Linked DNA regions of Oryctolagus cuniculus. The protein of the gene in region 1 interacts with the protein of each later gene in a biochemical or structural test. Links are inferred from orthologs where the notes say so. Each region holds a gene or a part of one and is shown in the gene's direction. Other genes may lie near its edges. The genes, in order: OIP5, MIS18A and HJURP.

The links.
Region 2: the proteins of OIP5 (region 1) and MIS18A form a complex in vitro, tested with the Homo sapiens proteins (3 studies listed by BioGRID). The link is inferred for Oryctolagus cuniculus from reciprocal best matches to the Homo sapiens genes OIP5 and MIS18A.
Region 3: the proteins of OIP5 (region 1) and HJURP form a complex in vitro, tested with the Homo sapiens proteins (2 studies listed by BioGRID). The link is inferred for Oryctolagus cuniculus from reciprocal best matches to the Homo sapiens genes OIP5 and HJURP.

Annotation. Positions count from the first base shown.
Region 1 is NC_091443.1:64,435,194-64,439,554, reverse strand, and holds part of OIP5 (protein Mis18-beta), read left to right. Parts: intron 1-2,043; coding exon 2,044-2,166; intron 2,167-4,361. UniProt on the Homo sapiens protein: Required for recruitment of CENPA to centromeres and normal chromosome segregation during mitosis.
Region 2 is NC_091435.1:12,608,578-12,612,938, forward strand, and holds part of MIS18A (protein Mis18-alpha), read left to right. Parts: intron 1-1,566; coding exon 1,567-1,689; intron 1,690-4,361. UniProt on the Homo sapiens protein: Required for recruitment of CENPA to centromeres and normal chromosome segregation during mitosis.
Region 3 is NC_091434.1:5,620,121-5,624,600, forward strand, and holds the end of HJURP (Holliday junction recognition protein), read left to right. Parts: exon of another isoform or gene 1-345; coding exon 346-1,834; exon of another isoform or gene 1,835-3,403; coding exon 3,404-3,452; 3' UTR 3,453-3,540; downstream 3,541-4,480. UniProt on the Homo sapiens protein: Centromeric protein that plays a central role in the incorporation and maintenance of histone H3-like variant CENPA at centromeres.

The DNA of each region.
Region 1 (4,361 bases):
CCCAAGTACTTGGGCCATCATCTGCTCGTTCCTCAGCATATTAGGGAGCTGGATTGGAAGCTGAGCAGTAAGGACTCAAACCAGGGCTCCTGTATGGGATGCTGGCATTGCAATGCTGCACTTCAATGTTGGACCTTGGTGTTTGTTTGTTTGTTTGTTTGTTTTTTGACAGGCAGAGTGGACAGTGAGAGAGAGAGAGACAGAGAGAAAGGTCTTCCTTTGCTGTTGGTTCACCCTCCAATGGCCGGCGCGCTGCGGCCAGTGCACCGCGCTGATCCGAAGCCAGGAGCCAGGTGCTTCTCCTGGTCTCCCATGGGGTGCAGGGCCCAAGCACTTGGGCCATCCTCCACTGCACTCCCGGGCCATAGCAGAGAGCTGGCCTGGAAGAGGGGCAACCGGGACAGAATCCGGCGCCCCGATTGGGGCTAGAATCCGGTGTGCCGGCGCCGCAAGGTGGAGGATTAGCCTAGTGAGCCGCGGCACCAGCTGGACCTTGGTTTTTTTAAAGTGTTTCTTTGTAATTTTTGGATATGTCTCATATACTATAAATATGGTGTTTTGTCAATCGTTTAACAAAAACTAAAATCAACTATTTGATGCTTGATACAGTAATCTTTCAGAGGATAAAGGAAAAGAAAACAAATGGCTTGCTGGGGTATTGGATTCCTTTCTTTTGCTTTGAATCTAAATATTTTTCAGTTGATTTTTAAAATTCTGCAAAAGAAAAATCAGAGTTTTATCAATAAATTGTTCAGTAAGCCTTCAATCAACTTGTTTTTTAATGAACTGTGAATTCTTACAGTGGTAGCTATTTTAAACACGGTAGTCACTTTAAATATTTAAATCAATCAAATTAACTTTTTCTGCTTTACAAGGGTAAATTACCTTTCTCTACTGACATGATAGTTATGCATCCATGATTGCTTTTCTGGCCAGAATCCTTGAGGGTATCTGTTACCTAGGGTCTAATTAAGTCTGAGTAAACTTTTCTCTTGAATGTGTCATTTTTTTTTTTTTTTTTTTTGACAGGCAGAGTGGACAGTGAGAGAGAGAGAGGGGTCTTCCTTTGCCGTTGGTTCACCCTCCAATGGCCGCTGCGGTCAGTGCACTGTGGCCGGTGCACCGCGCTGATCCGATGGCAGGAGCCCGGTACTTCTCCTGATCTCCCATGGGGTGCAGGGCCCAAGCACCTGGGCCATCCTCCACTGCACTCCCTGGCCACAGCAGAGGGCTGGCCTGGAAGAGGGGCAACCGGGACAGAATCTTGCGCCCCGACCGGGACTAGAACCCGGTGTGCTGGCGCCGCAAGGCGGAGGATTAGCCTAGTGAGCCGCAGCGCCGGCCTTGAATGTGTCATTTTTGCAGACTCATCCCTAATTATAGTAATTTTCAGTTGTATTTTTTTCCTAAGATTTATTTATTTGAAAGGCAGAGTTATAAAGAGAGAGAGAGACAGAGAGCGCTCTTCTGTTTGCTGGTTCGCTCCCCAAATGGCTGCAATGGCCAGGGCTGGGCTAGGCCATTGGAAGTGTAGTAGCTAAGACTCAACTATTGGCATTGTAGGCAGCAGCTTTACCCATGATTGTACAACACTGGCCCCTTGTCGTCTTTTTTTTTTTTTTTTAAGATTTATTATTTGTTTATTTGAAAGGCAGAGTTTACAGAAAGAGAGGGAGGGAGATCTTCCATACACTGGTTCACTCTACAAACAGCCACAATGGCTGGAACTAGGCCAGACTGAAGCCAGGAGCTTCTTCGAGGTCTCCCACGAAGGGAGAGAGGTGCAGGGGCCTAAGCATATGGGCCATCTTCCCCTCCTTTCCTAGGTGCATCAGCAGGGCACTGGATTGGAAGTAGAGCAGTCGGGTCCTGAACTGGCACCCATATGGAATGTGTCACAGGAGCAGGTAGCAGCTTTTTCTGCTATACCACAACACGGCCCCTCACCTATGTCTTAGGTGATAGGAATGTTCCCTGAGATTAATTACCTGTTATGTATTCTCTGATTTTATTTCTTACCCATGCTCTATTTTCCCCCCTCAGCACTTACAACCTTTTGTTCTGTAATTCCTGTGGGATTCCCATTGGTTTCCATCTATATTCTACTCATGCTGCCCTGGCTGCCTTGAGAGGTCATTTCTGCCTTTCCAGTGACAAAATGGTGTGGTGAGTAAAATCTGGTACTGTTTATCAGAAAAGACTGGGGACCCAAGAAGATGCTGCAGCCACTCAGTACCTCTTAAAGATAACTGTAGGGGTCACTGCTTGTGCTGCAGGCATCTGGTATCCAGGTGCTGATACTGTGCTTCTGATCCAGCTTCCTGCTAATGAGCCTGGGAAGGCAGCGGATTGGTCAGTACATTCTTTTTTTTTTTTTTTTTTTTTTTTTTTTTTTTGACAGAGTGGACACTGAGACAGACAGAGAGAAAGGTCTTCTTTTGCCGTTGGTTCACCCTCCAATGGCCGCCGCGGCTGGTGCACCACGCTGATCTGAAGGCAGGAGCCAGGTACTTATCCTGGTCTCCCATGCGGGTGCAGGGCCCAAGCACTTGGGCCATCCTCCACTGCCTTCCCTGGCCACAGCAGAGAGCTGGCCTGGAAGAGGGGCAACCGGGACAGAATCCGGCGCCCCGACCGGGACTAGAACCCGGTGTGCCGGCGCCGCTAGGCAGAGGATTAGCCTGTTGAGCCGCGGCGCCGGCCAGTACATTGTTTTTAAGTAGAAATTAGGAAGTTTAAGTAGCATGAGTCAGGAAAGATAATCTATGTTTTATTAAAATGACTGGTTGTTAATAACAGAAAACCTACCAGGGGCTTTCAGTAAGTGGTGGGGCCAGTTGACTGCTCCGTGTGCCTCTTTGAGGCCCAGCTGAGGCCTGACAGTGCTCTGGGTCACCATCCCCATGGTTCTCATGGCCTTGTTGTCTTATACAGGATGGCTCCTTCGGTGATAAGCATTAATGCAACCCCATCAGAAAAGAAACAGATATGGGCAGTGGAGAACACAAGGTTCTCCTTTTGTTTTTTGTTTTTTTTTTTTTAAAGTTTTTTTTATTTATTTATTTGAAAGACTAAGTTACAGAGAGAGGTAGAGACAGAGAGAGAGGTCTTCCATCCACTGGTTCACTCCCTAGATGGCTGCAATAGCCAGAGCTGCACCAATCCGAAGCCAGGAGCTTCTTCCGGGTCTCCCAAGCGGGTGTAGGAGCCCAAGGACTTGGGCCATCTTCCACTGCTTTCTCAGACCAGAGCAGAGCGCTGGATCGGAAGAGGAGCAGCTGGGACTAGAACCAGCGCCCATATGGGATGCCGGCGCTTCAGGCCAGGGCTTTAACCAAACACTGTGCCACAGCGCCAGCCCCACAAGGTTCTCTTTTTATCAGCAAAAATGTCCTTATTCGAATGTCTGTAAACATGTCGCGTGCTCACCTTAACCTGGGGAGTCAAATATGTGACCGTAGTCTTGTCTCCATGGGCTTAGAGTAGTTACGTTTTATTTCTTAGGACTGGGCACACTGCTGCCTTAGATAAAATCTGGATTCTGTGAGCAAGATTCCGGTAGGCAAGAAACACTTGTCACAATGTGATCACTGACCGTCCTTCAAACTGTGCTTCAGTAAAAGTCTTCAGGGTCCACTGGGAGAGCTTACACTCATCATGATTCTCCCCCCGCCCCTTTTTTTTAAAGATTTATTTTACCTATATGAAAGACAAGAGTTAGAGAGGTAGAGCCAGAGACAGAGGGAGGTCTTCCATCTGCTGGTTCACTCCCCAAATGACCACAACAGCCAGAGCTGAGCTGATTCAAAGCCAGGAGCCAGGAGCTTCTGCCAGGTCTCCCATGTGGTACAGAGGCCCAAGGACTTGGGCCATCTTCTACTGTTTTCCCAGGCTGTAGCAGAGACCTGAATTGGAAGAGGAGCAGCCAGGACTCAAACCGGCACCCATATGGGATGCTGGTGCTGCAGGCGGTGGCTTTAACCCACTGCACCGCAGCGCCAGCCCGATTATTCCTTTGACATTCATGTTTGTCTTAATTTTGCCCTAGCAGAGTTTTACTTCTAGGAAGGAATAGATTGAGGTATAGCGTCTCTTATGATTTATTGACAATTTGTTTTTCTAAAAAAATACATCATGTGTCTTTATATTTTTATTTTTTGACAGGCAGAGTGGACAGTGAGAGAGAGACAGAGAGAGAAAGGTCTTCCTTTGCCGTTGGTTCACCCTCCATTGCCGCCCATGGGGTGCAGAACCCAAGGACTTGGGCCATCCTCCACTGCACTCCCTGGCCACAGCAGAGGGCTGGCCTGGAAGAGGGGCAACCGGGACAGAATCCGGCGCCCCGACCGGGACTAGAACCT
Region 2 (4,361 bases), on another chromosome or scaffold:
CAGAACAGAGTTCTAGCTCCTGGCATCAGCCTGGCCCAGAGCTGGTTGTTGCGGACATCTGGGGAGTGAACCAACCAATGGACGATCGTACCCATCCCCCATCCCCATCACTCTGCCTTTCAAGTAAAATTTTTTTTTAAGTCTGAGAAGAAAAATCTCCACTTATTAATTTGCTGTGTTAGGTCTAAAATTTTACTGTGGATTACTCACGTAGTGGCAAATTGAATGAGCCAAGTCAGCAAGGCTTTTTGGAAACGGTGATTCTGAGGCAGATTAAGGAAGACAGGTTGACAGGAAGGGAGTATATTCAGATGTTGCAAGCCAGGCTGAGGAGAGTCCAGGATGAAGGAACAAGTAAGTGGAGAGGCGGCGGGTCATGAAGTACGTGTGAGTGACCTGTGTGGGGCGTGCCTGGGGTTGCTGGGAGAGTGCTGGTGGTGAGTAGATCCTTTAACAGGCAGCTCTAACACACAGATCACAGGCACACATCCGAGACTTTTTAAAAACCCCTTAACGAGGGAGCTGGAAGCTGGTTCAGGGTCGGCAGATCGAGTTATGGCCCCTCAGCCTTTGGGGCTTGCTTTGCTACTCACAGGGATGGTTTGTGTCCCTGCCAGACTAAACTCACTTACGGTGCATTGGTGGGCTTTCTTCAGGCTGTCATTTAACTTTAGAGGCTTTTTCTAAACTGGGCTGTGTTAGCTTTCTGCCAATGCGGGGGCAGGCAGAGGCCCTGGGCTGGATGCCTCTCTGTGAACCCAGGTGATTGAGTTCTGCAGTGTCTGTAAGCTGTTTTCGTGCCGTGACGGCAGAGGCCAGTAGTAAGGATTAGTTATTCTCTGCGTCATTACACAGGAGTTGCCTCTCCCTGCCGTTGTTGGGCTCCTTGGACAATGGCATTAAAAGGACGCATAGAATCTTTTTGTCTTATTTCCCAATTTTCTTTATAATCAAAGAGTTTACATTCTTTATTTTTCTTAAGATTTATTTATTGAAAGATAGCATTACGGAAAGAGGGAGAGAGAGCTTCCATACGCTGGTTCACTCCCCAATGGCCACAGCAGCCACGGCTAATTCAGGCTGAAGCCAGGACCTGGAACTCCATCCGGGTCTCCCATGTGAGTAGCAGGAGCCCAAGCATTTGGACCATTTTCTGCCACTTTCACAAGCATGTTAGCAGGGAGCTGGATTGGAAGTGGAGCAGCTGGGACTTGAACCTGCCTCATATGGGATGCTGACATCTCAAGCGACAGCTTAACCTGCTGGGGCACAGCCCTGGCCGCAGAGTTTGCGCCGTAACACATGCACTTGATGGTCTCCTCCTCTTGTTGCCGTGTGCATGTTCCTGCCGTCAGATGTGGATGGCAGTGTGGCTGTCCTTGCATTTCTATTATAAATGTCTTACTCTCATCTTTTTCCTTCCTTATATGAATACATGTAACTAAACATGGTCAGAATGACAAACCCTGGAAACCTGAGTGTTGAAGCGTTTGTGGGTGCCAGCAGTGGGTGTTCTGTAGCAAGTTGCTGCTTTGCTTCCTAAAGCGGTGCTATGTCTTTACGCAGCGTCCTCGAGACCCTGTACTGCGTCGGCTGCTCCCTCAACCTCGGCTACATATACAGATGCACCCCCAAGAGCCTTGATTACAAGAGGGACTTGTTTTGCCTCAGTGTTGAAGCCATTGAAAGGTAAGTTTGATATTTAAGTGACCGCTGGGTAACTGACCTCTCAGAAAGTTAAGTTTGCAGAGAAATTGCTATGAAGACGTCAGAGCTAAACCACGCTTAAACGACATTTCCAGGTAGTACTTTCTGACATTAAAGCCAGTTAATTTCTCTCTCTGTCTCTCTGTTTTTCTCTTTGCTTTGCTCTAATTTTTTGATATTGGAAAAATCAGCACTCCTAAATTGTGGCTTTTTTTTGGAGTAAAAATATGTTCTTTTTTGTTTGTTTGTTTTTTGACAGAGTGGACAGTGAGAGAGAGACAGAGAGAAAGGTCTTCCTTTGCCGTTGGTTCACCCTCCAATGGCCGCCGCGGCCGGCGCACCGCGCTGATCCGATGGCAGGAGCCAGGTGCTTCTCCTGGTCTCCCATGGGGTGCAGGGCCCAAGTACTTGGGCCATCCTCCACTGCACTCCCTGGCCACAGCAGAGAGCTGGCCTGGAAGAGGAGCAACCGGGACAGAATCCGGCGCCCCGACCGGGACTAGAACCCGGTTTTGTGCCGGCGCTGCAAGGCGGAGGATTAGCCTAGTGAGCCGCGGCGCTGGCCTGTGTTCATTTGTTTTTAAAAATGGAATGAACTTGAGAAGGATTCTTTTTAAGTATTTTCTGGGGCTATGTCTCAGTGGTTAAGTTGCTGCTTGGGATGTCCCCAACCCATAGGACAGGGCCTGCTTTAATTCTGATGCAGCTTCTTGCTGATGTAAACCCGGGAGGCAGTAGATGCTGGCTCAGGTACTTGGGTGGGTCCCTATTACCCATGTGGGAGACACAGACTGACTTCCAAGCTCCTGGCTTCGGCCTGGGCCAGCCCTGTGTGTTGCAGGCATTTGGGGAGTGAACAGTGGATGGAAGGTTCCTGTCTTTCTCTGCCTTTCAAATAAAATGAGAGTAATTTTTCTAAAAAGCGATATTGTGTTACAGAAGAAAATACGTGGGAGGTTTTACTGCAGGAGATCATGGTTGTCAAGGCTGTTTTTCCTGAACAGTTGATTTTAGGAGACAGGCTACTTCTTGGGCAGAATTTTTTTTAAAAAAATAAGTTTGTGTGTGTGTGTATTTTTTAGATTTATTTATTTGAAAGGCAAAGCCACAGAGAGAAGCAAAGCTACAGAGGGAGAGAGTGAGGAGAGAGAGATATTCCATCTGCTGGTTCTCTGCCCGAATGGCTGCAAGGGCCAGGGCAGGACAAGGCCAAAGCCAGGAGCCAGGAGCCCCATCTGGGTCTCCCACATGGATGCAGGAGCCTAAGGACTTGGCCATCTTCTGCTGCTTTTCCAGGTGCATTAGAGAGAGCTGGATCGCAAGTGGAACGTTAGGGACTAGCACCAGCACCCAAGTGGGATGCTGGATTTGTAGGTGGTAGCTTAACCGGTTATGCCACAGCACTGGCCCCTTGGGGTGGAATTGTAATGCCAGGGCTGCCCTCTGTGCCATTTATTTACAGTTTTATCAGTTGCTCGGTGCCATGTCATTTTCCCACCGCATCTTTGGTTTTCTAAGTAGGATGTCGGTTGCCTTCTGCAGTTTGCCTACCACGCTATTTTCCTCTGCCTTGCCAGGCATATTGGCAGAAAGCTGGAGCAGAGACAGAGCTGCGGGGACTCCCGCCAGCACTCCGCTGTGGGATGCCGGGAGCTGGCGCCACAGCCCTGGCCCCTCGAGTTTTCTTTGAGAGATGCTGGCATCTCCGTCCTTACTGTTTAGATGTAGCTGGTTGCCAGCCCAGAGCTGGTTTCCCTCCATTGCCAGCTGATTCTTCTGCTACTTCCTACTTTCCTAAACCATCGCATCTTGTAACAATGAGAGGCAAACACAGTGTAAGTTGGAGAATAACTGTTACAGTTGCTGACATTTGGTTAATCAAGTATTGACCACCACAATTTATTACTTAAAGTCTCATTTAGGAGCAGGTGTTTATCCTACTGGTTAAGGCAGCTGTGTTCCACATTGAAGTCCCTGGGTTTATTTTATTTTATTATTATATTTTACTTTAAGATTTATTTTATTTATTTGAAAGTCAGAGAGAGAGAGAGAGAGAGGTAGAGCCAGAGCCAGAGAGAGAGAGAGGTCTTCCATCTACTGGTTTCCTCCCCAAATGACCACAGTGGAGCTGAGCTGATCAGGATCCAGGAGCCTCCTCAGGGTCTCCCATGTGGGTGCAGGGACTTGGGCCATCTTCTACTGCATTCCCAGGCCATAGCAAAGAGCTGGATTGGAAGTAGAGCAGCCAGGACTCGAACTGGTGCCCATATGGGATGCCGGCACTGCTGGCCAGGGCTTTCACCGCTGTGCCACAGCGCCGGCCCCAAAGTCCCTGGGTTTAATTCTGAGCTCCTGATTCCAGCTTCTGGCTAACGCACACCCTGGGAGGCAGCACATAGTTGGCCCAAGTAGTTGGGTCCATGCCACCCACGTGAGAGAACTGGATCGAGTTTCCAGCTCTGGCCATTGCGGGCACTGGGGAGTGAGACAACAGACGGGAGGTCGTGCTCTTGCTCTCTCCCCTGCCCCTCTTAAGTAAAAAATTGGAAAAAAGGTCAAATTGGAAGTGGCACATGTTTCTGACGTTAGATAAAGCAAGACAGGGGAGGCTTCTTCCGGGTCCTTAGGTGGCTGAGCTATGAGTGATGATGCTT
Region 3 (4,480 bases), on another chromosome or scaffold:
CTTTTTTCCCAATACATAAAGCATTTTGCATCCTGCAGAAGTCACAGCTGCGCGAAGCAGTGCATTCGGGATGCTTAGCTCACTCCCGCCCAACCTGGCGGGAAGTGTGTGGGCACCTCCTGCCTTCCAGTGAGCTCTCGAAGACAGCAGGTTCCAGGTCAGTCCCGGGGTGGGAAAGCAAGAGTCTAGTTTTGATGCCTGGAAAGGAACCTCTCCCTCGGAACCTGGGGCTTCTTATTATCATTGTCATTGTCATTATTGTCATCGTTGCTTTGAGAAGGTCGCGGTCCGGCCTCGAGTTCCATGATGTCTGCACAGGGACGTGTGACTGTGTGTTTCTCCCAGGGTGCCGTGGTGGGGTCTCTGGAAGCAGCCCCGGGGGCCCGGCTAAGCCGGCCTCGCCGCCCCAGGAGCAGTGCCCCCTGCATCCTGGCTCCACAGACACGGGCACGGAACACCAAGACGACAGCCTCTGCTCCCTGGGGACGGACGGGAGCGGCCGGTCCTGGGCGGCTGAGGAGCTGTGCGACGTGACCATCAGCGAGCTGTACGCGGGGATGCTGCGCTCCATGAGCCGGCTGCTGAGTGCAAAGCCGGCGTGCGTCATCTCCACCAGAGCGTCTGTGCTTCAAGCCTGGAGCTGCAGGCGGCGGCACAGGTGGAGGAGCAGGCTGAACAGGACGTACTGCGAGGCGGGCAGGCGTTCCCGGGGGAGCTCCTTGCACCCACCCCTGCCGGGGCCGGAGCCGGAGCCGGGTGCGGGACCACTGAGAGACTGCGAGAACCTACTCGATGTTTCTCGCCGTAAGGCGGGTTTTAAATTGGAAAGGGCTTGTCTTGAAGGCAACAAATCCCAGGTGCAGACGTCCGATCCGGGCTGGAAGGAGCTGCAGCTGACGCCACGGAGGAACTCGGCTCCGGCAGGCTCGGACGTCGGAGCGGTGCGCGCCCTGGGCCGGGAGCGCAGGCTCGGGATGCTGCAGTGGCTGCTTTCCCCTGTGAAGCTCATCTCTGGACCGGCAACGCCACAGGGCCCCCGCGGGGAGCGCTACAGGGAGATCCGGGTCCGATTTGAGAGACTGCATCGGGAGTACGCCCTGAGCCCCGGCAGACAGCCTCGCCACACGGGCCTCGCGGACTCCTGGGCCGTGGGCCTGTACAGCGGCGGGCCGGTGAGCCCAGGGGGTTCCTGGAGCTTCGAAACCCACAGGCCGGGTCTGTCTGTGAGAGCGAAGGGCAAGACGTTGAGGGAGGCCTTCGAGCGCCTGGGCAGATCCGTGGACTCAGGCCAAGGCCGGCCAGAGGACGGTCCCTCTCCCTTGCCTGCAGGGCCCAGCCCCGTGCCGAGCCCAGGCCGCCCGCAGCAGGCGAGGAGCCTTGTCCCGGGAAGCAGCCCTGGCCCGCTTAGGAAGGCGGCGTCACCCGGCGGAGCTGTTCCAGGACCCAGGACAGAACCTCTGGGCTGCGGGAGGAATCGTTACGATGAGATTAAAGAAGAGTTTGACAAGCTGCATCGGGAGTACTGCAGCACGGCACCGCGGCCGGGCGCAGCGTCTCCAGACACGGCAAGTGCGCAGGCCCGGCACCGGACAGACGATGTCCTGGGAAAACCGAACCCGGACTCCCGGTCCCAGAAGTTGTCGCTGTCAGCCCAGTGGCACAGAAGAGGCGCACTGGGCTCGAGCGCAGTGGAGGACGGGGCGTCTGCTGGAGCCACCAGGGGCGACCATTGGTCCCCTGCGAAGCGCCGCAGGCTGCCAGACCCCCAGCTGCGCGCACCCCAGGCCGACTCCTGGGACTCCCCAGGCCCGGACCACCCAGCGGGGAAGAGAAGGTGAGTTTGTGTAGCTGGGGCTGGCGGCTTCCTGCGGTAGTGACCTGCGTGTGCCTTTGGACAAATTCCAGAACATTCTTGGGTATTTGTTTCTAAGCATTCTCTCCCCTCTTTTCCTTCCTCTAAACCAGCGTTTCCATTAGGAATGTGTGTGAGCGTGCACACGTGTGTGTGTGTGAGAAAGACGCATCAAACGCGTGTTCTGTGATGTCACGTGTGTATAACATCACGTGTGGGCGCGCCAGCAGCAGATTGAACAGGCTGCGTCGTCTGCTGTCGGCCAGAACCCTTCCGAGAGGGAGCCCAGGAGGGCGGCCCAGCCCTGGGTGCGGCGCAGCAGGCTCCTGGTCTCCGCCAGTGCTCCCCCTGGAGCTGGGCTCGCTGGTGGTCCCGGGCCATTTGCCCCGCCCCCTCAGCCCCCTCCTGTGCCCCTTGGGCTTTACAAGACCAACACACCAGCCGAGTGACTGGCGGCCAGCGTTGCAGGGGTTCTGGGAGGGGGAAGCCTCAGACAGCCCCCAGCCCCTTCTTCAGGGAACGGCCTTGAGCGCAGTGCTACGCCTGCACGCTGCTGCCAGCTGCCCTCTGAGGATAACCTTGGTCCTCGTAAAAGGCAGGATTTCACCGAAGACAGTCCCACCCAGAGAGCCACGCCGGGCCCCCGGAACTGCCGTGTGCTGTCCTGCTGTCTCCACTGTTCTCCAGTGCCCTGCCCAGCCTCCCGTTCCTTCACTGTCATCCCGCCCTGGGCCCCCCGGGCCCCTGTCCCACCTGACCCCAGTGCAAAATCACTTCGTGCCTTTTCACCTGCTTGGCCTAAAGGCCACGTGGAGGGGACAGCTTTACAGACAGGTCCGTGTTGTGAGCAGGCGCCCCGGCGCCTGCAGGGAGGCACTTAGGTCCCCCTGGAACTTGACCGCCGGTCTCAGTGGCCAGCACCAGACGCCATCTTAAGGCACAATGTGAGGGCGTTAAACCATTGTGACCAGTCTGAGGAAGGGGCCAGATCATCCTCGTGCTGTCTGGGTCTCCCATGTGGCTTCCAGGGACCCGCGTACTTGAGCCACCACCTGCTGCCCACCAGGTGCAGTAGCAGGGAGCTGGAGTGGAGGTGGCGCCTGGTCTCAAACGCAGGCCTCTGCAGTGGGATGCAGGCTTCTCACACGGGGTCTTAACCACCAGGCTAACCACCGCGTGGAGAGAACCCTCCCATCGGATGAGGTCGGCAGAGCAGGCGGGTTCTCCCATTTGTAAATGAGGCAGTGAGCTTCACTCTTAGGACCTCTGTGTTGACACGGGCAGTGCAGGGTGGCCGGCGTCAGAGAGCCGGGGACTGTGTAGTCTCTCTCTTTGGCCAGCACTGGAGAGCCGGGGACGGGCCACAGCTGCACTGCCTGTGTGGGGATCGCTGTTGAGTTTGTGTCTGATTCCTTGGGGCATCTTCTACCGTGAATACAGATACTTCTGTGCACGCCCTGGGATGACCAGAAGGCAGGGGGCTGTGTGGGGCCTGGCTTTGGGGGCCCTGTCAGATGGGGGTGCAGTCGGATCTGTCTTTTCTGCCCGCAGAGGCGAGAGCACGGCTTTCCAGATGGACGGGCGGAGTGACTGTCGCTAGAAGGCAGCGCCGGCGTCTCCACCGGGCGGTGTGCAGCGCTGCCCCCTTGCTCTCTGGTTTGTGGCTTTTTCTTCGTCATCACAAAGACGGGAGAACCTGGTTGGCTTTTCTGCCCTTAGACAGATTTCAGCAGCACCCACTCCGTCAGACGGCGCTCGGGCCCCGGGACGAAGTCTTGGAAATAAAGTCGCTTAATTAAAAAACTCCCAGACGTCTCTGGAGACCCGTCTTTCTGTTTCCTTTGAACGGGGACGTTTCCGGCGACACGTGCCCCGCCTCCCGCATCACGAGGACGTCGTCTGGGTACGGAGCCGCGCAGGCCCTGCCGTGGGGAGCAGAGGGGGCCGCAGCTGCGCCGTCTGCAGCTCAGCCCCTGCGCCAGAGCTCCGCGTCCTCCCCGTGGGGGGATTTCACAGCCCGGAGCCCCTTCGTCCAGGAGCAAGGAAACAGCGGGAAGAAGTGGGCCCCGCGGCCCCAGTGTCGCCGGGGCACCGTCCAGCGCACTGTCTCATTAGACCCGGCTTCCCGGAAGACAGCCGCCTCGCCAACACCGGACGGCTCAGCTCAGCCTCCTGAAATAACGCTGGAGCCCAGGTCAGTGGCTTAACTGCTTCCGAGGTCACGATGCCAGCAAGGTCAGGTATGCTGGGAGCTAGAACCCCACCCTAGGAATGTGAGGGACCCACGGGTCAGCCCACCGCACCGTGAGCGGTCAGCCTGCTGGTGGCCAAGAACCCGGCCAAAGCCTCGCCCCTCGGCAGGGTCGGCTTTAACAGGCGGCCTGGCTCAGTCGCGGCTGGCGGAGGGGCCCTGCCCACCCTCTAGCCATTCTCGGCCTGCTGCTTGCTGAGAGCCCGGCCCACGCATTTCCCTCGTCATCCTTGCCCGGGGTGCTGGGGCGGTGCCGAGTCTCCCTGGCCGGGCTGCGTGCTCCCGCTTCCCATCTCTGTCCGCGTCTTGTGGAGGAGGGCCAGGGCCGGGGGCTGCCCCGGCGGGCGTCTCGCGTGTTAAGAGCTCCAGGTAGACAC